Oryctolagus cuniculus: one gene and its partners. The protein of the gene in region 3 binds, or shares a complex with, the protein of the main gene of each other region. Links are inferred from orthologs where the notes say so. Each region holds a gene or a part of one and is shown on either strand. Other genes may lie near its edges.

Region 1 (6,099 bases), on a different chromosome or scaffold from region 3:
AGGGGGTACAAACACAAATGGTTCTTAAGCATGTAAAAGATGAGGTAACAGGGCCAGCGCCATGGCGCAGCAAGTAAGGCTGCCGCCTGCAGTGCTGGCATCGCAGATGGGCACTGGTTTGAGTCCTGGCTGCTCCACTTCCGATCCAGCTCTCTGCTATGGCCTTAGAAAGCAGCAGAAGGTGGCCCAAGTCCTCCAAGTCCTTGGACCCCTGTGTCTGCGTGGGAGACCTGGAAGAAGCTCCAGGCTCCTGGCTCCAGCTGTTGCAGCCACCGGGGAGTGAACCAGTGGATAGAAGACCTTTATCTCTCTCTCTCTCTCTCTCTCTGCCTCTGCTTCTCTGTAACTCTGCCTTTCAAATAAATAAATAAATCTTTTTTTTAAAAGAGATGAGGTGACTCGGCAGTTCAAGACCTGTTGTGATGATAATCATGCAAACATAATGGGATGATTACTCTGGTGGCTGCGGCAGGAGGGAAGCCTGCCGATGGAGGCACATGTGACGTGCGTGGGAGGAAGTGCATGGACAAGGGCGGTTTTACTCAAGCTGTAATCAGACCTATCTCCAGGCTATCCTGAAGAAAGTCCTGAGTGTCTACATCACATAATTCAAATGAGATAATGACTATAAAGCAGACAGGACTGGGTCTGATACTAAAACAACATTGCTAGAGAGCCGTTAGGACAGCACCCATGACTTCTCCCCGTTTTTGGCTCCTGGGCAGAGGCCTCCAGAGGCTACCTGCACAGTCAGTCACAGTGCTGTTCTGACCCCGGCTCCTTATCTGTTCACTCCATCAACAAGACTGTACCCTGTTCTGAGGAACACAATCTAATTATCAACATATAAAATCAAAAATTCTTTATTTTTGAGCCATCCTAAGGTTCCACAGGGGCTCCCAACCGTGCTTGCAGGCCCCAGCTTTGCCAGGGGGACTGGATTCCATAGCCTTGCCATGACTCCCAAGTCAGGAAGGAGAGTCAGGCCCAGGTTCCTGTGGGCTCCCCTTAGGAAACTATCTACTCTGATCCTGTTCATCTTGCTAGTCCCTCCAGGTAACTTCTACTTCATCTGTCCGATACCTGTGGAAAAAGAGGAAAAATCTGATGGAGGTCTACCCCTTACCACCTTCCATTTTTCTCTGTCTCCCCATCAGGAATGGACTCTCTCCTGTGCTGACTCTGGCCTACCTCCCAAACAAGCCTGTCTATTCCCCACAAAGAGGGAATCACTCACCTCTGTGTAATCCCAGAATCACGGAGTGGGGTTCTGTGTCCGGCCTGGAACATCTCCCAGCCAGCCTGGGCTATCATGGCTCCATTATCAATGCAGAATCTGGGACGCAAGAGACATGAGATTTAGGATCTAGGGGCATAAAATCACAGTAACAGAACAAGAAAAGGTCTCTACCTCTCATCTGTGGCAAAAAGCTTAGCTCCACGTTCCTGGCACATTATCTCCATCATCTCCTGTAGCCTCACGTTACCTATAAAGAGGCAGGAGACAGGGTTAGCTTAGTTTCAGGTATCTCTCCCTGACCCAGCTGCACATCTTAAGTGCACTTAGGACAATGAAGTAGAGGACTAGAGGCAAGAATGGGGAGGCACAGGGCAAGAGAGCAAACTAATAATTTTCCAAATCCCTGGCCATTTAGAGTAATGGGACTAAGACTCACAATGCCAAGAAAAGGAAAGAGCAACACCATTCAATGATACGTACACCCCACACCTCCCACAATGAGGGCCTCCTGGGAGCCACAGTGCGCCATAGCTCGCTCCGTGATCTCTACCAGCATTGCAAACACGGTTTCCTGTGGGGGACAGACAAGGAGCAAATATCAGGGACATCCCAGCTTAGTTCTGCTCTATTGTATAAAACCTCCCCCAGCCCAAACTTTCTGCACCAGCCTGTACTCCATTACCTGCAAGGAGAAACACAGATCCTCGGGAGTACACTCGCCTGTGGCCAGCATCCGCTGGGCTGCATCCTGCAAATGAAGGAGAAAAAGGAACAATGTAACAGTGATGTGGAGATTACATGAGAGCAAAAGTTACAGCCAAGAGAATTAGCATCTTTCACCACAATTCACACTGCGAGCAAATCCTATACCACACCCTGCCCTTCTCTGGTACCAAGAACTGGTAGCACTCCAGATTCTAGAATTACTTCTTGAACGCGTGCTCTTGCATACCCCACCCCTTATGCATCTTGCTTAATTTTTCTCATAGCACTTTTCCCTCCTGATGTACTCTAGGTTATTTTCCCCCTCTTGTTTCTTGTCTATCTCCCTCATTAGAATCTAAGCTCCACGTAGGCAGGAATTTCTGTTTTGCTCCCTGCTGTATCCTTGCTTTCTAGAACAGTGCCTGGCACAGAGAAGATGGCCAATAACTGTTGTGAGTTTATTCAGCACCTGATATAGGTCAGGACTATGCTATATATAAGACATAAAACAGAAAGTAAAACAGATAAGCTTCATTAAAAAAAAACACAGAAATGCCCCCATCTTACCTCTCACACTCACCTCAATAAAAGACAGGATCCCTGAGAATGAGACGTCCATCCCCTTTACAGTGTAGGGCAGCTCGACCAGTTTCTTGCCTCTATATGGGGATAAGTAAGGGCACAGAGCCTACAGTCAGCTGGCGCTCACCCTGCAAAGCCTTTCCCGAATCTCGCTAATGTACATGTAGAGCAAGCCCTGAAGCCCTAGCAGCCAGCCTCCACCTTGCACTCCCTTACCTCTTTGCCATCTGTTCAATGTTGTAGCCAGGACTGGGGTCATTGGAAATCTACCAAAAAAAAAAAAAAAAAAAAAAGACTGGAAGAGGATGGAGTCAGGCACGTGGGAAGACGAAGCTATTTACTTCCTCCTTCACTTCCATAGCTCCCCAGGAATCCACCCACATCTAGATTCCCTGCTGCCCCATGGGCTTACCTTGAGCACTCGGGCAAAACGATCCAGACAGTTACCCACAGCAATATCGATAGTCTCCCCAAAGATGCGGTACCGACGCTCTGAGTATGCAATCACCTAGAGGTGATGAGGATCTCCATGAAACCTCAGGGCTGTAAAGAGGAGTACTTGGCTTTGGGGAAGAACGTAGCAGAGGGTCAACACAGCCACCAGAGCTTCAAAGACAACATGGAAAAAACAGCTTCCCCAGACCCTTAAGGGGTGATTTTTAAAAACATAGCTCTTATCTAAGAAGCCCACATACCCTGAGGATTTCCAGAGTAGATTCCTAATCTATAGAAGATAGATTGGTCAGGGCAGAAGCAAGCTATAATTTCTTTTTTTTTTTTTTTTTTTTTTTTGACAGGCAGAGTGGACAGTGAGAGAGAGAGACAGAGAGAAAGGTCTTCCTTTTTGCCGTTGGTTCACCCTCCAATGGCCGCCGCTGCAGCCGGCGCACCGCGCTGATCCTGGCAGGAGCCAGGAGCCAGGTGCTTTTCCTGGTCTCCCATGGGGTGCAGGGCCCAAGCACCTGGGCCATCCTCCACTGCACTCCCTGGCCATAGCAGAGAGCTGGCCTGGAAGAGGGGCAACCGGGACAGAATCCGGCGCCCCAACCGGGACTAGAACCCGGTGTGCCGGCGCCGCAAGGTGGAGGATTAGCCTATTGAGCCACGGCGCCGGCTTTTTTTTTTTTTTTTGACAGGCAGAGTGGACAGTGAGAGAGAGAGACAGAGAGAAAGGTCTTCCTTTGCCATTGGTTCACCCTCCAATGACCACCGCGGCCGGCGCACCACGCTGATCCGCTGACAGGAGCCAGGTGCTTCTCCTGGTCTCCCATGGGGTGCAGGGCCCAAGCACTTGGGTCATCCTCCACTGCACTCCCTGGCCACAGCAGAGAGCTGGCCTGGAAGAGGGGCAACCGGGAAAGAATCCGGCGCCCCGACCGGGACTAGAACCCGGTGAGCCGGTGCCGCAAGGCGGAGGATTAGCCTAGTGAGCTGCGGCGCCGGCCGCAAGCTATAATTTCAAATACATTTCTCCGCTTCACAGGTTGGACACATTCCTTAGACGCCACCCTGCCGGTGTAGATTAGGAACAGGTATCTTGCTTGGAGACAGGAAGCAAGAATCATTCTAGATTCCTACCACGGTAGTGGCATTTGGAAAGAAAGTCATTTTGATGAAACAGAAAACCTTATGTGGGGTCAGACCAATGGACCACCCAACCCAGCAATGGCAGTCTCCTGAGGCCAGTTCTTCATGTGTCCAACTTCCACACAGCAAATACCCAGCACCTACGGTCTCATGCTGCAGGCTTCCCAGGGACCAGAGAGTTCCTTTCCCCTCCCAGTGCCACTAGGGATTTTCTTCCTTTCTGATATACTTCTTTGCTGGCAAAAAAACCTTTTTTCTATTAGTTATTCCTTACCACCCAATCATCATCTTTGCTTTTAACATCTAAGAAAGATTCGAAAGGGAAGAGGAAGAGGAACCCTTACCACTTCTCTTCATGAACTCCTACAGTGTCTATTGCTGCTTTCCACAACCCAAGTCCCTAAACTTGTATGTCATCCTTCAGGCTTCAACTACTTGCCCTCTACGCACTCATGTTCCCACATGGTCACCACAGGAAGGTGTGCCTCACAGTAACCACTTCACAAAACAGTTTCAGAACACAACCCTTTCATAAGCTGGGGACAATGCTGAGCTATTTCTAATAACCCTATTAGGTGTTCCGTGGGAAAGAAATCCAATCCCAACCTTAAAAGGTCATGTAAAGTATCCCAAGCAATTTTAGCTACACCTATACATGTAAAATTCTTTTTAACATTTATAAAGTTGCTTCTTAAAGTTACTTACATTTTGTAGTGTTAAAATAGCAAAGTCTACATTTACCTTCATTACAAAATGTCTAGTTATCTTAAAAAAATAAATAAATAAATTGGTAGTGCCCCTTAGTTTTAATTGCTAAAATGTACAGAAAAAAAAGCTTCAAAATAATATAAGCTTAAATCCTTATCATTGTTTTCTAAATTGGAAATTCCTAATCTTTTTTGTATAATCAAATATATAAAAGTCACCTAAAGTTTTAATAACCTGTCGAAATCTGCTATTACGAACTCTGTTGTGAGTTTTCTGGTGAAGAGCTAGGTTCAGTTCTGTTTCACAGGCAGTCCCCACAACTCAGGTAAGCCACAGAAGTCACTGGTTCACTGCCCACAAAGTAGGATGAAATAGGTGGAGTACTCAAAATACCTGTGTGTTTCCCCCGCTGACATACAGCACAGTTGGGCTGGTGGCTCCAGTGATGAGACGGCCCATCTCAATGTGGCCTATACAGTGGTTCACGCCTAGCAATGGCTTATTCCACAGCTGGGCCACGGTACGAGCCACGACAGCCACAGAAACTAGTGGAGCACCCATGCCAGGACCTAGGGGACAGAAATGGTAGTCAGAATGCTGGATTGGAAAAAAACAGGTGAGGAACTAGGGAATGTCAAAGCGGGAGAGGGCTTGTGGTGGTGACAGAGGCAAGGCAGAGGACATTTTGACCTACCCAGGCTCCACATTCCTCCAACACTGACCCCTCCCCCAGTCATACCCTTGGTGTAGGCAATGCAGTCAATATCCTGGGAGGTTAATCCAGCCTCGCTCAGCGCCTCCTGCAGCAGATCTAGGATAACAGCTCGGTGGTGCCTGGCAGTGTCACCTGGAAGGAATCCTAGAAAATGGGAACAGGCCAGGGGTCATAAGGGTTTTCTGCAGCAAAGACAAGTAGAATTTTAAAACTATGACAGTGAAGCCTCCTGAGTTTCAGTAATGCAGGAAGACTCCTTCCATTCTCCTCAAGCACCCTGTCTTCCAGGTTTTCAGACACATTCTAACCTCTACGTAAGCTGTTCAGGTATCAGAAGTGCCTTTCTTCCTACTCAATTCCTACTCAGCATTAAGACCCAAGTGAGGGGCCGGCACTGTGGCGTAGTAGGTTAAGCGTCCACCTGCAGTGCCGGCATCCCATATGGGCACCAGTTCGAGTCCCCGCTGCACCACTTCCCATCCAGCTCCCTGCTGATGAAAGCAGTAGAAGATGGCCCAAATGCTTGGGCCCCTGAACCCATGTGGGAGACCCAAAAGAAGCT
Region 2 (7,158 bases), on a different chromosome or scaffold from region 3:
ACAACTGAGGCTGGGCCAGGGCAAAGCCAGGAGCCAGGAACCTAATCTGTCTCCCACACAGGTGGCAGGGACTCCAGCTTGAGCCATCAGCTGCTGCTCCCCAGGGTGTACAGTAACAGGAAGCTTGTCGCTCTCCGTCTTCGTGGAGGAGCAACACTGAACCCTGCCTAGGCTTCATATCCGAGTCACGGCACCATTATGTCGCTCCCCGTCTTCGTGGAGGAACGACACAGGACCCTGCGCTGTTCTTATGTCTGCTCGGCCCTCCCCGGGTTTGCTGCTGGTCCTTCCCGGGTTGGCTGCTGGTCCTTCCACCTCCGTGGAAGGGCGGTTCCCCCTGCCACATTCCCCACTTCCGCGGGGGAGCGGCACACCGCCGGCCGGCTCTCTCGGGGGCTGCACAGGTGTTCCCCTTAGATGTTCCCCTTAGATGTTCCTGGTGCATGCCGTCTCTCTCCTCCTTTATAGTCCTCCTCCGCCAATCCTAACTCGGCTGCCCACACGCCGAGTACGCTGCTCTCCTCCAATCAGGAGCAGGTCCTGCAGCTTGTCAAGTTGGTGAGAGGCAGCTGGGTAGAAGCTGTTGCCTCCTCTCCCAGCGCCATATTGTGGGAGAGCAGATGCATAGAATAAGTCTTAATTCCAGTAACTCAGTCCAGTCCGGGTTGCTCCCAACAGAAGCTGAACTCAGAAGTGGAGCCAAGGACTTGCATCCAGGTACTCTGATAGGGGATGCAGACATATCAACTGCTGGGTCAAATGCCTATTCCTGTAACACCTTTTATGTATCGATAAATTAATGTTTCTGAAGAATTCTAAGAAAGAGTAAACATTCATGTAGACTTTATTTTTTAAAAAGATTGATTTATTTGAAAGAGTTACAGGGGTCGGTGCTATAGTATAGCGGGTTAAGTCTCTACCTGTGGCACTGGCATCCCATATGGGTGCTGGTTCGAGTCCTGGCTGCTCCACTTCCGATCCAGCTCTCTGCTGTGATCTGGGGAAGCAGTGCAAGATAGCCCAAGTACTCGGGCTCCTGATCGGCCCAGTTTCACTGTTGCAACTGTTTGGGGACAGAACCAGCAGATGGAAGACCTTTCTGTCTCTCTCTGTAATTCTGCCTCTCAAATAAATAAATCTTTAAATAAAAAAGAGTTACGGGGCAGGGGGGGAGTCAGAATCTTCCATCCGATGGTTCACTCCCACACTGGCCACAACAGACAGGGCTGGGTCAGACCAAAGCCAGGAGCCAGGAGCTTCTTCCAGGTCTCCCACATGGGTGCAGGGGCCCAAGGACTTGGGTCATCTTCCACTGCTCTCCCAGTATATTAGTAACGAGCTGGATCGGAAGTGGAGCAAGTAGGACTTGAACCAGTGCCCACATGGGATGCTGGCATTGCAGGCGGGTGGCTTCACCCACTACGCCACAGCACTGGCCCCTCATGCTGACTTTTAAAGATATCAGGAAAAGCTTAGTGCTAAACTTGTAAAACTTTATATATATTACCACTGCATATTTGCTATATAAGTACAGGTCTAAAAGGAAGGAAATATTCAAAAACATTGACAGCAAATGCTGAATGGTAAGGCCAATTGTTTATTTTCCTGTTCTATTTCTTAAATTGTCTACAATTAAATTTTACCTTTAAGATTTATTTATTTGAACAAGTGACACAGAGAAAGGTGTGATGGTTCACCACACAAATGGACCAGACTGAAGCCAGGAACCTGGAACTCTATCTGGGTTTCACACATGGGTGGTAGGGGCCCAAGGATTTGGGCCATGTTATGCTGCTTTTCCAGGGGCATTGGCAGGAAGGTGGATGGGAAGTAGAGCAGCTGGGACTCAAACTGGTACTTATACGGGATGCCAGCAACGTAGGTGGCAGCTTAACCCACTGTCCCTCAACACCAGCCCCAACTTGCATTTTTTTTTATTTATTTTTATTTTTTGACAGGCAGAGTGGACAGTGAGAGAGAGAAACAGAGAGAAAGGTCTTCCTTTGCCGTTGGTTCACCCTCCAATGGCCGCCGCGGCCGGTGCACCATGCTGATCCGATGGCAGGAGCCAGGTGCTTCTCCTGGTCTCCCATGGGGTGCAGGGCCCAAGCACTTGGGCCATCCTCCACTGCACTCCCTGGCCACAGCAGAGAGCTGGCCTGGAAGAGGGGCAACCAGGACAGAATCCGGCGCCCCGACCGGGACTAGAACCCGGTGTGCCGGTGCCGCAAGGCTGAGGATTAGCCTAGTGAGCCGCGGCGCCGGCCCCCAACTTGCATTTCTTAAACATGTGAATCTCGTTTCTTCCACTGCAACTCCAGGACAATGGCAAGGATATTTGTATGTGAAAAGGATATGAAACTGGGAAGAGGTCAGTTTTATTTTCTGTGGTAGCAAACATTTAAGCACTGGTGAAAACAAACAGATCTTGAGCACCCAGAACCCAATGCAGGCAAGCCATTAGGCCCCATCCTGCTTCGGGCATGATCGCCCTAGGGAGACACATTTTCTAGGAGGCGAGCAAGGTAACAACTGGGCCCCTTTACCCAGTCCAGTCTTAGCGGGCAACGGGAGGCCCGAAGCGCTGCAGGGTGCGCACCACCAGGGAAAGCTGCTCAAGAAAGCTGATGATGGAAACTCGGAGGAGGCGAGGATCTTTAGCTGTCCAGCGGCTAAAAGGGAAGGAACAAGAAAATCAAGTCGGGGACAGTAGCTGCCCACATCCCTTGCTCTACCCCTCAGGCATCCAGTGCAGCAGATCCTGGAAGCCCCGGTATTACAGGGCCTCTCGGGCAGCGTCCCAGACCTGCTCCTTAGACTTCCCCCGGAGTGCCTCCAGGCCTCCCAGCCTACCTCTCAGTGGAGAATGGCCACATCCCCTGTTGCCTTCCCCTCACCGCCTCCCGCTCCCCCACTCCTGCCACCCCACCCCCGGCCCCCGGAAGCATTTACACCGCCAGGACGGTGCCGGTCACTGCGAGGTCCTTTCCAATCGCTTCTGGGTGAGGCTCAGCATCTGGAGCCAGGGACTCACAGGCGATTTCTGCCTCCAGACGGGTGGGAAAAGGCACACTGAGGGTACTGGTGGAGGTTTGGTAAAGGCACCATCGGAAGCGACTTTGCCCGAGTCTGTTTCCCTGGCTCTTCTGACGGCTTCCATGACCTCTCTCGGGCGCCCCCCACTGGCTAACGCTTTAATCCCACAGCCATCCGGGCGGCTCCGATTACCCTGCTCTTCTTTCTGTGCTACCGGTCCTCCCACTCGCCCTTCCCACCTTCTGTTCCAGGCTACCCTGCCCCCACCACGGGCAGCCTCCACCCCCTTCCCCCACTGTGCCCCTCCCGCAGGATACAAGGAGTGTGGTCGCATTCCCGGGCTTGCGGCTGCTGTCGCGGCGTCTCCGCCCGGAACGGCAGCGTGCGGTGCCTGCGCGACTTCTCGAGTTCCACGGGCTGCAGCTGCTTCTGTGTCGGTACCATCGGGAAAGTCGCGGCCACGCCGTCCACGCTGGGTGTGAGCGCCGCCCGCCACGCCGCCTGCGCCTGCGTCCGCAGCCTGCATGGCTGCCGCTGCCCCGCCCTCAACCCCACCCTCAGGGCGCTGCGCCACGGCCCGCCATCTCCAGGAGCTTCGTAGATTGCCCGCCCTCCTGAAGCTCCGCCCCTCGCGCACGACCACGTCCACGCGCGCCTGCGCAAACACACCTTTGACGAGGCTGTTGGGACGCCTCGTGAGTTCCCGCGATAGTGGCCCAACGTGGGGGCTCTTGGAGACCCTGGCAGCTTCAGAAACACTGCATTCGTGATTCGATGCTAGTGCGCTAGCCAGAACATACCTCCAGTGAAGCAGGCAGATGCGTGGTCGGTTCCCGACAACACAGCGCTGCTGGTACCCACAGGCCCTGGAGAAACTGAGCTGCAATATATATTTTTTTTAAGATTTATTTATTTTGGGGCCGGCGCTGTGGCTCACTTGGTTAATCCTCCGCCTGCGGCGCCGGCATCCCATACGGGCGCTGGGTTCTAGTCCCGGTTGCTCCTCTTCTCTCCAGCTCTCTGCTGTGGCCGGGAGTGCAGTGGAGGATGGCCCAAGTGCTTGGGTGCCTGCACCCGCATGGGAGACCAGGAGAGGCACCTGGCTCCTGGCTTCGGATCGGCGCAGCGCCAGCCGTAGCGGCCATTTGGGGAGACCTTCTCTCTGTCTCTTTCTCTCACTGTCTAACCCTATCTTTCAAATAAATAAATTTTAAATAGATTTATTTGAAAGAGAAAGAGGTCTTCCATCCACTGGTTCACCAGTTGCCCGCAACTGCCAGAGCTGCGCCAATCCAAAGTCAGGAGCTTCTTCAGGGTGTCCCACACAGGTGCAGGGGCCCAAGGACCGGGGCCATCTTCTACTGCTTTCCCAGGCCACAGCAGAGAGCTGGATTGGAAGAGGAGCAACCATTTCATAGCGTTGCTGGCTACAGCCTTACCTGGTAAACTACAACGCCACCTTGGCTCTAGATTTTTTTTCCGTCGCTGAAGTTTGCCAAATGTATCGTAGTTCCATTGTATCAGTTCGTTCTGTTAGGTAACAAGATCGATCTCAGACTGTGTGTGAGGCTGTTAGGTAGCAAGGGAGAGATTAGCTGTGTGTGTGAAGAGGGCCTAAGGAAAACAAAGCCCTGGTGGAAAGCAATGTAGCAGCCTGGGACGTGCACTTGGGCAGCAGTCCTGTATTTTTTTACACGACAAAGCCCTGTCCACCCCCGTCACTTTATTGGTGGCCCCAGCCTTGCCTCCCAAAAAGGCACCCCAGGAGAACCCTCTGTCTGGCGCTAAGCAGGCTGCTCAGTCTGATAACTGGGTAATAAAACTTTGGGAGGGATTTCACCCATTTCACACCCAGCAAAGCCCTTGCGGGGAAGAGAAACAGGGAAGAACTGGACCCCAGTCCCTCAGAAGGCCCGGTCTCAGTGCGGACTGGGCTCTCAGCTCAGCTCTTGGTTCTTTGGCGCTTGGCCCATCAGGAAAGTTCTAGCCGCTGAACCTTGCCCTCCCCATTCTGAATGACTGGACACTCGCTCAGGTGCCCAGTTCCGACACGTGCCCTGCCTAGTGTTACGCCTTGCTGACGACTCTCTCACATCTGACTTCTCTTTTGCGTGAAGGCAAGAACTTCCATTCCACACAACTCTGCTAACAAGAGGGGCCAGAGAAAGTGGGATTTTTGGTGTGGATGAATGAGAAAAAGTGTAGATGCGAGCCTTGGAAGCAGACCAGCATCTGCACCAGAACGTGCATTCGCACATTGCATCACCTCCTTAGCAGACCCAGCCCTCCCCCAGGGGCAGCTTGAGGGAATTTTTCCCACCTCCAGCCAAGAGGGCTATTAAGGTCCAGCCACACTGTGCTGATGAAGGTCTGGGAGGAATTTCAGGAATTCAATGCCCCGGAAACCCTCCTGGCAGCCTTATCCCACAGAGGGAGGGGGATGGAGAAGCAGAGGGCCTGTATCCAGAAACACTGCGCTCTGGGCATTTAGCATTTGATGGCTCAGGTCCTTGGGCCCCTGCTACCCTTGTGGGAGACCAGGATGGAATTTGAGCCCGTCCAGTGGGGCTGGGGGCACGTGTGCCCCTCAGATATAGGTAAAATGTCTCTAGACCGACCGGCAGCCCCCCCCCCCCCCACTAATAGCTTCTTTGCGCATGTGTGACCTTGCAGCTTTCCATCACACCTTCAGGGTGGGGGGGGGCAATCCTTCACCCAGAGCCGGCAGAGGAGGGGGCTGAGCCTTTAGAGGGAGTCAGGCTGCTTCCAGGAGCCCCCCACTATCTCCATGATTCCTAAGCCAATCAACATATAGTATGTGAAACCACCTCCCATCTGATGGGCACCTCCAATCAAATAAAAGTATCTGCTTCTTTGCATACTGTTTCCTGTTTTTTAATTCTATACTAAAGGGAGGAAAAGAACCTAAGAAACTAACCCCGGCAACAGCACTCCCCTCCACTAGTAGCAGAGTTCCAGGTTCCTGACTTTGGCCTGGCCCAGACCTGGCTGTGGCAGCCTTTTGGGGAGTGCAGCAGTCTCTCTCCCTCCCTCCCTTTCTCTCTGTAACTCTGCCTTTCAAATAAATAAATAAATAAATCCCCCCCCCCCAAGATTTATTCCTTTATTTGAAAAGCAGAATTACAGAGAGGGAGGGAGAGAGAAAGGTCTTCCATCTGCTGGTTCACTCCCCCCAAACAACTGCAACAGTCAGGTCCCGGCCAGTCAGGAGCCAGGTCTCCCACGTGGATGCAGGGGCCCAAGTACTTAGGCCATCTTCCACTGCTTTCCAGGCGCATTAGCTGGAAGCTGGATCAGAAGTGCAACAGCTGGGACTCAAACTGGCACCCACATGAGATGCCAGTGTAGTTAGGAAAATGGCGCAGTTTTATCTATGGCGCAATCTACACCCTGACACCATCCTAGGCTCTAGCCCCAGCCGCCATTGCGGGAAGCCAGGTGGCCACATGGCCCAACCACCGGTGTCAAGCTCCTCCCCCATCCTAATTCGCTGCTCCTGCTTCCCTGCCTGCCCTCCGGAACACGTGGCTCTCTTGGCTCCTCTGCTCTCCTCTCCTCCCCTCGCCTCCTCTTGTCTCTCCTGCTCGCTCTCTCTTCTCTCCTCGCTAGCTCCTCTCCTCTCTGTCTCTCTTATACTCTCCTTCTCTCCCTTTTTCCTCTTGGCCCCTCCCCTCCAGCCTGCGGGGTTTCCCCAATAAACCCCTTTCCCTTACTCCGGTGTTTGGTGTGTTTTGTGGCGGCCTAACAAGTGTCACAAGCGGCAGTTTAACCCACTCGGCCACAACTTTGGCCCTTCTGCAGGTTTTTTTTGAAAAGATTTATTTATTTGGAAGACAAGAGTGAGCGCGCGCGCGAGATCTTTTATCTGCTGCTTTATTCCCCAAATGCCCACAGTAGCCAGGGCTCAGTCAGGCAGAAGCCAGGAGTCGAGAAGTCAATGCAAGTCTCCTACATAGGCGGCAGGGACCCGAGCACTTGGGAATCCTCTGCTGCCTTCCCAGCCCCCTTCGACAGCTTTATGACTGGTGATTCCGTGCACTTACCTTCCACAGCCTGCTCTCCACAGGCTTGAAACTTGAGTTTCCAAGTTCTAGTAAAAAT
Region 3 (6,706 bases):
CCAGCAACCTAATCCAATCTGATCACTTCCGAAGGGCCCTGCCTCTGAAATGATAGTGGATACATTAACATAAGACTTTGGGGACCAAGCCTTTAACAGCCGGGCCTTTGGAGGACAACTGGACTAATATCTAAAGCATAGCACCATTCTAGTTACTCAAGCTATCTTTTTTTTTTTTTTTAATTTATTTATTTGAAAGGCAGAGTTACAAAGAGGGGGTGGGAACAGAAATATCTTACATCCTCTGCTTCACTCCCCAAATAGCTGCATCAGCCCCAGCTCGGCCCAACCAAAGCCAAGAGACAAATTCCATCTGTGTCTCCCATATGGGTGACAAAAGCCCAAGAACTTGGGCCATCTGCTGCTGCTTCTCCAGGCACATTAGCAGGGAGATGGACTGGAAATGCAGCAGCCTGTCCTCGAACCATCACTGATATGAGATGCCAGTTTCTCAGGCAGCAGCCTACCCTACTATGCCACAATATGGGCCCTTTAAATTGTCTTTTTTAAAACTGTCTGTTAGGTCCAGCGTTCTGGCATAGTGGGTTAAGATGCTTCCTGTGACACCATCATCCCATACGGGTGCCAGTTCATGTACTAGCTACTCCACTTCTGATCAAACTCCCTGCTAATGGGCCTGGGAAAGCAGCAGAACATGGCTCAAGGGCTTGGGCTGCTACCACCATATGGGAGACCCAGAAGCAGCTCCTGGCTCCCAGCTTCAGCCTGGCCCAGCCCTGGCCATTGCTGCCATTTGGGGGAGGGAGCCAGTTGATGGAAGGTTCCTCTCTCTTTCTAACTCTGCCTTTCAAATAAATAAATAAAACGTCTTCATTTCTATCCTTTCCGTGTTATGCCTGTGTCTAAGGAAGGGCCAACATATTATTGATTCTTTAATAATCATGTCCTCTCTACCTAATTGCCATGTGTGGAATGAGTATCTTTGGGTAAGTTGTGATACTTCATCTTTCAAATTTTATTTTATTCCTTAACATTTGTGTGCAGGTCTTGCTAAAATACAAAGTGGTGAGCCAGAAAGTTACAAAGGCTGAGAGTAAGGTTTCATTAGTCCCACAGGTGTTCTGCTCCTAGCTATCTGCTGGGAAGCAGCCCCCTGGTGCAGCCCCCCGCACCCCAGCCTGCTCATCTGGACGAACAGACTGGCTGGTTAGACTTTCTTCCAGCAGCAGTAAAGGAACTACAGGCAGCTCAGTGGGCTTCAGAAGACAGATGTGCTTGGGAGCAGGGTTTTCTCGTTTAACCGTTCTGTGCTGCTGTTACAGCTACTTTTACTTATTTGTTGGCAAGGATACTGGTTTGTGAAGGAATGAATCATAATGTTAACAAAGGAAACTTATTAGTCTTTTTGGGTTTGTGCAGTGGAGTCCTGCTTATCTGTGAAATGCAGCTAATGCACCAGCTGGACCTGTTTCCCGAATGCAGGGTGACCCTTTTGTTGTTTAAAGATGTAAAAAATGCTGGAGACCTGAGAAAAAAGGCCATGGAAGGCACCATTGATGGTTCACTGATAAATCCTACAGTGGTGAGTACAAAATGGGAGAATGAAGGCACCACGCAGGCATTTAAGGCTGTGCCACTTTCTCACCATGCTACTGGTTAGCCTACAATCTTAGCATCAAGTGAAAAGTTCTCATCCAACTCAGACTTGGCCAACCTTGAATTTAACAGTGAGTGGACACAGAAGCACCAGGCCCTGCCCCAGGGAAAAGGAAAGGTAGTGTGGCTGACCCCCGTGGTGGACGCCAGGGACCCCAGCTGCTCATCTGTGAGATGAGCGTTGTGAGGAAGCCAGTCTGGAGAGGCGTGGTGCCGCGGTTAAGACGACGTGACCGGGACCCAGCCACAGCTCTGCTGCTTACTGCAGCTCCGAGCAAGTGACAGCCAGCCTTTATGTGGCACTGACGTGCTCCTAGGATTGCTCTAAGTGTCGTTCTTCTAATTCTGACTCACCTTCCCAACAACCTGGTGAAGTGAGTTCTGGCATTTTTTGTCTCTAACTTAGCCAGCTCCCCTAGGTGGGAGAGCTGTGATTCACACCCTGACACGCCACGCCTCAGTCTCCTCAGCTACTACCTGTGAATAATGTCAGTTTCTGTGGGTAGCTTTAGGATTAAGGATCATACAGGTAAAATGTTTTAGAATGGACCTTTCTGATAATATTAGCCCTGGATAAATGTTAAACATTCTTACTGTTTATTTAAAGTTTACTATTCTGATTTTTTTCAGTATCCAGACCTTTGATGTAATAGTTTTGAAAGTATACTCCACAAGAATTGTGATAAGCTAAGGCAGCTTGACACTGGAGCGACCCTGGGATAAGGCCCGTGTCTGCAGGGTGTGCCAGAATCTCTGATTCTTGTTGTTCTCTTTGGTAGATTGTCGATCCATTTCAGATACTTGTGGCAGCAAACAAAGCCGTTCACCTCTACAAACTGGGAAAAATGAAGACAAGAACACTGTCTACGGAAATTATTTTCAACCTCTCCCCAAACAACAATGTAAGGTGGCATTCACTGTTTCTTTTAACCTTGTCCTAATGATCTGTGTGTTCCCCAGACATGGGTCGGAGACTGAGTTCCTGCAAACCAGTTATTAGGAATAGACCAGAATAACTGCAAAGAGAGCTCTGGACAGAGAGTTGAGTGGAGCTCTGCCTCTGAATAGTTGAGTCGGCCTTGGAGCCAGTTTGCTTGTGAGGAAAACAGAAGTTGAGCTAAGCTAGGGAGGCTAGTTTTGTTTGTCCTTCTTAACATACGGGATTGGGAAGATCTCGTCAGTACTGATGTTTAAGAAACAGGCGGAAACCTCAATGACCAGACGTTAGGCACGGACAGTTGATGTGTTAGCAGGCACGTGTTTCACTCTCCCTGTAAACTTCTTGTCCTTTCTGTGTACCAGGAACTTACTGGTGATATGGGCCTTGATGTCTTAATCTTTTTTTTTAAAAGATTTTATTTATTTGAAAGGCGGAGCCAGAGAGAATTCCATCTGCTGGTTCACTCAGCGAATGGCCACAATGGCTGGAACTGCACTGATTGGGAGCCAGGAGCTTCTTCTGGGTCTCCCACAAGGGTGCAGGAGCCCAAGGACTTGGGCCATCGTCTACTGCTTTCCCAGGCACATTAGCAGGAAGCTGGATCAGAAGTGGAGCAGCCTGGACTCGACCCAGCGCCCATATGGGATGCCAGCACTGCAGGCAGTGACTTTTACCCGCTATGCTACAGCGCCGGCCCTGGTATCTTAATCTTTACTCTAGGACTGGCCCCGCACAGAGAGAATTCAAAGCAGAGGCATAATACAGTGCACAAGTGAAAAGTTTTTATTTAAAAGTGAGAGTGAATGTACATGCATGGTGAGTGGGCTGCCCCACACATAGAAATACCTGTCAAGAATGGGCCAGAGAGTGCCCATGAGAAGAGAGAGAAAGAAAGCCAGAGAAGGGTCCCCAAGCATGGCAAAGGGCAAAAGAAGGTCCCTCCTCTGTTATCAGCTGCTTTTATGAAGTAGGGGTGGTGTCAATTAAATAACAAATGGAGGGGAGGTCTTAGCATGCATGAGCTCTCTGAGATTTTTATGGCACATCCACTTCCATGTGGCCATCATGGCTTCTCCTTCTTGGACCTGGATGAGACACAGGTGCATCCTGGGAAGGCAGGCATGGTAGATTGACAGGTGAAGGGATAAAGCCTGCTCATACATCTACTACACAGGAAGAGTCCACAGCTTGAAATACTCACAATAATACTTTCCCAATAAGAGCTAACTGAATTAGGGACTGGCCCTGTGGGGTAGTGGGTAAGCCAACTCGTGTAGTGCTGGCATCCCACATGGGCACCAGTTCAAGTCCTGGTTGCTGCACTTCCAATCCAGCTCTCTGCTAATGTGCCTGGGAAAGCAGCAGAAGATGGCCCAAGTGCTTGGGCCCCTGCATCCATGTGGGAGACCCAGAGGAAGCTCCTAGCTCCTGGTTTCAGCCTGGCCCAGCCCCACCTGTTGGTTGCCATTTGGGGAGAGAACCAGCAGATGGAAAACCTCTCTATGTAACTCTACCTTTAAATAAATAAATCTTTTAAAAGAAAAAGTTATTGAGCTAAAGGCATTCCACACACTGTATATGCAAAAATGCCTGAAATTTTGCTAATGAAGTTTTAGTATTGCTGCTACTACTACTGTTAATAATGCAACCTGGTACTAACAGCATCAAGAGAAAAATTAGGAAACCTGTGGCATGGTCTGAAATACAGATAATTACAAAGTTTGTAAAATGCACTTGCCTCAGCCTGCTAATGGAATTCTCCAGTACCTGGAATACAGTTTACCAGATTAGTTATTTCTTTGAAAACATTTGAAATAATTCACGAAACTGTTCAATGGACATGGAACTTGTCCCATTTACAGTGCCAGGGGCAGAAAATGCAAATATATTCCTGAGGAAAGGCAGATAAACAAGACAAAAGTTAACGTGCCCTACAGTGAATATGGAAATATGATGTTAATTGTCGGGGTAACGGAAGAAGAAGGGTGTGGCAGAGTGGCAGCTGAACCAGGCCTTGAAGCACACATTCGGTGGTCAGGCTGCAGGGAAAGGGGGAGACAGAGTGAAATCTGGCAGGATCCCCAAGCCCGAGAGGCCAGGGGCATGTGGCTAGAGGGTCACTTGGGCCGTGGGAGTGGGCTATTTATGTGAAGTGCCAAGGAGTCTGGGCCTGATTCCATAGGAACCAGGTCGGCTAAAGGCCCGGGGTGCCTTGGAGACCCTAGCAGTAGTTGGTGGAAAGGGACGATTGAGGGGAAAAGCAGGCAGACAGCTGTTTCCAGGTGAAGAAGAACTGTACCAAGGAGGATGGTGGACCAGGAGGTGTTTCAGGTACAGGAAACCCCGACTCATTATCTTGATGCTTTTGGATTTTGTTTGTATTTTTTCTTAGATTTCAGAAGCTTTGAAAAAATTTGGTATCTCAGGAAATGATACTTCAATTCTAATTGTTTACGTTGAAGAGAGAGAAAAACAAATAAATCAAGAAGACCTAATATCTCAAGTGGAAGGGCAGCAGGTTTCTCTGGAAAAGCTTCCTGAAATAACAAATATTACAGAAGTCAAAAAGGTTCGTAAAACTTCACACAATTTTTTTTTTTAAGATTTATTTGAAAGAGTTACAGAGAAGGAGAGGCAGAAGGGAGAGAGAGGTCTTCCCTCTGCCAGTTCACTCCCCAGTTGGCCACAGTGGCTGGAGCTGCATGGATCTGAAGCCAGGAGCCAGGAGCTTCTTCCGGGTCTCCCACGTGGGTGCAGGGGCCTGAGGATTTGCGCCATCTTCTACTGCCTTCCCAGGTCATAGCAGAGAGCTGGATTGGAAGTGGAGCAGCCGGGCCTCGAACCAGCGTCCATATGGGATGCCAGCATTGCAGGTGGTGGCTTTACCTGCTATGCCACAGTGCTGGCCCCTATACAAACTTTTTTAAAAGATTTTATTTATTTGAAAGAGCTACAGAGAATGAGAGAGAAATCTACCTGCTGGTTCATTCCCCAAAATGGCTGCAACAAGCCAGGGCTGAGCCGGGCTGAAGCCACGAGCCAGGAGCTTCTTCCAGGCCTCCCATGTAAGTAGCAGGGGCACAAGCACTTGGGCCATCTTCTGCTGTTTTTCCCAAGCCATTACCATGGAGGATTGGAAGTGAGGCAACCGGGACATGAACTGGTGCCCTTATGGGATGCTGACATTGCAGGCAGTGGTTTTACCCACTATGCCATGACACTGGCCCCTGTAAAACTATATATTTATATAGAGTGTGACAGATGAGGAATGTCAGTGCTGCTTGCTTAGTAATCAACAGTTCACCTATTTTTTTTTTTAATATTTTAAAAAATGTTCAGGGCCTGGCACTGTGGCACAGTGGGTTAAAGCCCCAGCATCCCTTTTGGTTCGAATCCCGACTGCTCCACTTCTGATCTAGCTCTCTGCTGATGCGCCTGGTAAGGCAGTGGAGGATGGCCCAAATGCTTGGGGCCCTGCACCCATGTGGGAGACCTGGAAGAAGCTCCTGCCTCCTGGCTTTGGCCTGGCCCATCCCCATCTGTTGGCGGCCATCTGGGGAGTGAACCAGTGGATGGAAGACCTCTCTGTCTCTACCTCTCTCTGTAACTCTGCCTTTCAAATAAATAAAATAAATCTTAAAAAAAAAAGTTCGATAACTAGAAGGTGCAGGTTTATGTACAGTATAATTAGAAACTTAGTTGATGAACTGTTCTCAGTTAAGAAAGTGTATGCCTTAAGGAGTAGCGTTTGGTACAGTGGTTAAGATGCTGCATGAGATGCCTGCATGCAACATCAGAGTGCCTGCCTGGGTTTGAGTCCCGACTCTATTCCGAGTCCAGTTCCCTACTAGTGTGCACCCTGGGAGGATGCAGATGATGGCTCAAGTACTTGGGTTCCTATCATCCGTGTGCGAGCTGCCAGTTGAGATCTGGGCTTCCTGCTTTAGCCTAGCCCAACTTGGGCTGTTAGAGGCAGCTGAGGAGAAAACTAGAAGACAGAAGATACATCTCTTTCTGCCTCTCAGATAAAACAAAAACAAACAAAAAATTTTATAAAGAAAGTAGATACCTTCAAATCTCAAGCTTACATAGTACATTTAAAATGTAAAATAAATTTAGTATGACATTAATGTCTAGATATATGCTTTT

Evidence for each region.
Region 1: TPRKB (region 3) and OSGEP share a complex: the UniProt entries of both Homo sapiens proteins name them as parts of the EKC/KEOPS complex. The link is inferred for Oryctolagus cuniculus from reciprocal best matches to the Homo sapiens genes TPRKB and OSGEP.
Region 2: TPRKB (region 3) and LAGE3 share a complex: the UniProt entries of both Homo sapiens proteins name them as parts of the EKC/KEOPS complex. The link is inferred for Oryctolagus cuniculus from reciprocal best matches to the Homo sapiens genes TPRKB and LAGE3.

What each region holds. Positions count from the first base shown.
Region 1 is NC_091443.1:54,299,118-54,305,216, reverse strand, and holds the end of OSGEP (tRNA N6-adenosine threonylcarbamoyltransferase), read right to left. Parts: intron 5,682-6,099; coding exon 5,562-5,681; intron 5,392-5,561; coding exon 5,216-5,391; intron 3,036-5,215; coding exon 2,940-3,035; intron 2,794-2,939; coding exon 2,744-2,793; intron 2,605-2,743; coding exon 2,526-2,604; intron 1,989-2,525; coding exon 1,923-1,988; intron 1,812-1,922; coding exon 1,721-1,811; intron 1,488-1,720; coding exon 1,412-1,487; intron 1,337-1,411; coding exon 1,238-1,336; intron 1,084-1,237; coding exon 1,044-1,083; 3' UTR 848-1,043; downstream 1-847. UniProt on the Homo sapiens protein: Component of the EKC/KEOPS complex that is required for the formation of a threonylcarbamoyl group on adenosine at position 37 (t(6)A37) in tRNAs that read codons beginning with adenine.
Region 2 is NC_091453.1:132,703,755-132,710,912, forward strand, and holds LAGE3 (EKC/KEOPS complex subunit LAGE3), read right to left. Parts: upstream 3,650-7,158; 5' UTR 3,563-3,649; coding exon 3,354-3,562; intron 3,082-3,353; coding exon 2,953-3,081; intron 2,673-2,952; coding exon 2,558-2,672; 3' UTR 2,357-2,557; downstream 1-2,356. UniProt on the Homo sapiens protein: Component of the EKC/KEOPS complex that is required for the formation of a threonylcarbamoyl group on adenosine at position 37 (t(6)A37) in tRNAs that read codons beginning with adenine.
Region 3 is NC_091433.1:129,229,035-129,235,740, forward strand, and holds part of TPRKB (EKC/KEOPS complex subunit TPRKB), read left to right. Parts: intron 1-1,380; coding exon 1,381-1,543; intron 1,544-2,396; coding exon 2,397-2,519; intron 2,520-4,949; coding exon 4,950-5,126; intron 5,127-6,706. UniProt on the Homo sapiens protein: Component of the EKC/KEOPS complex that is required for the formation of a threonylcarbamoyl group on adenosine at position 37 (t(6)A37) in tRNAs that read codons beginning with adenine.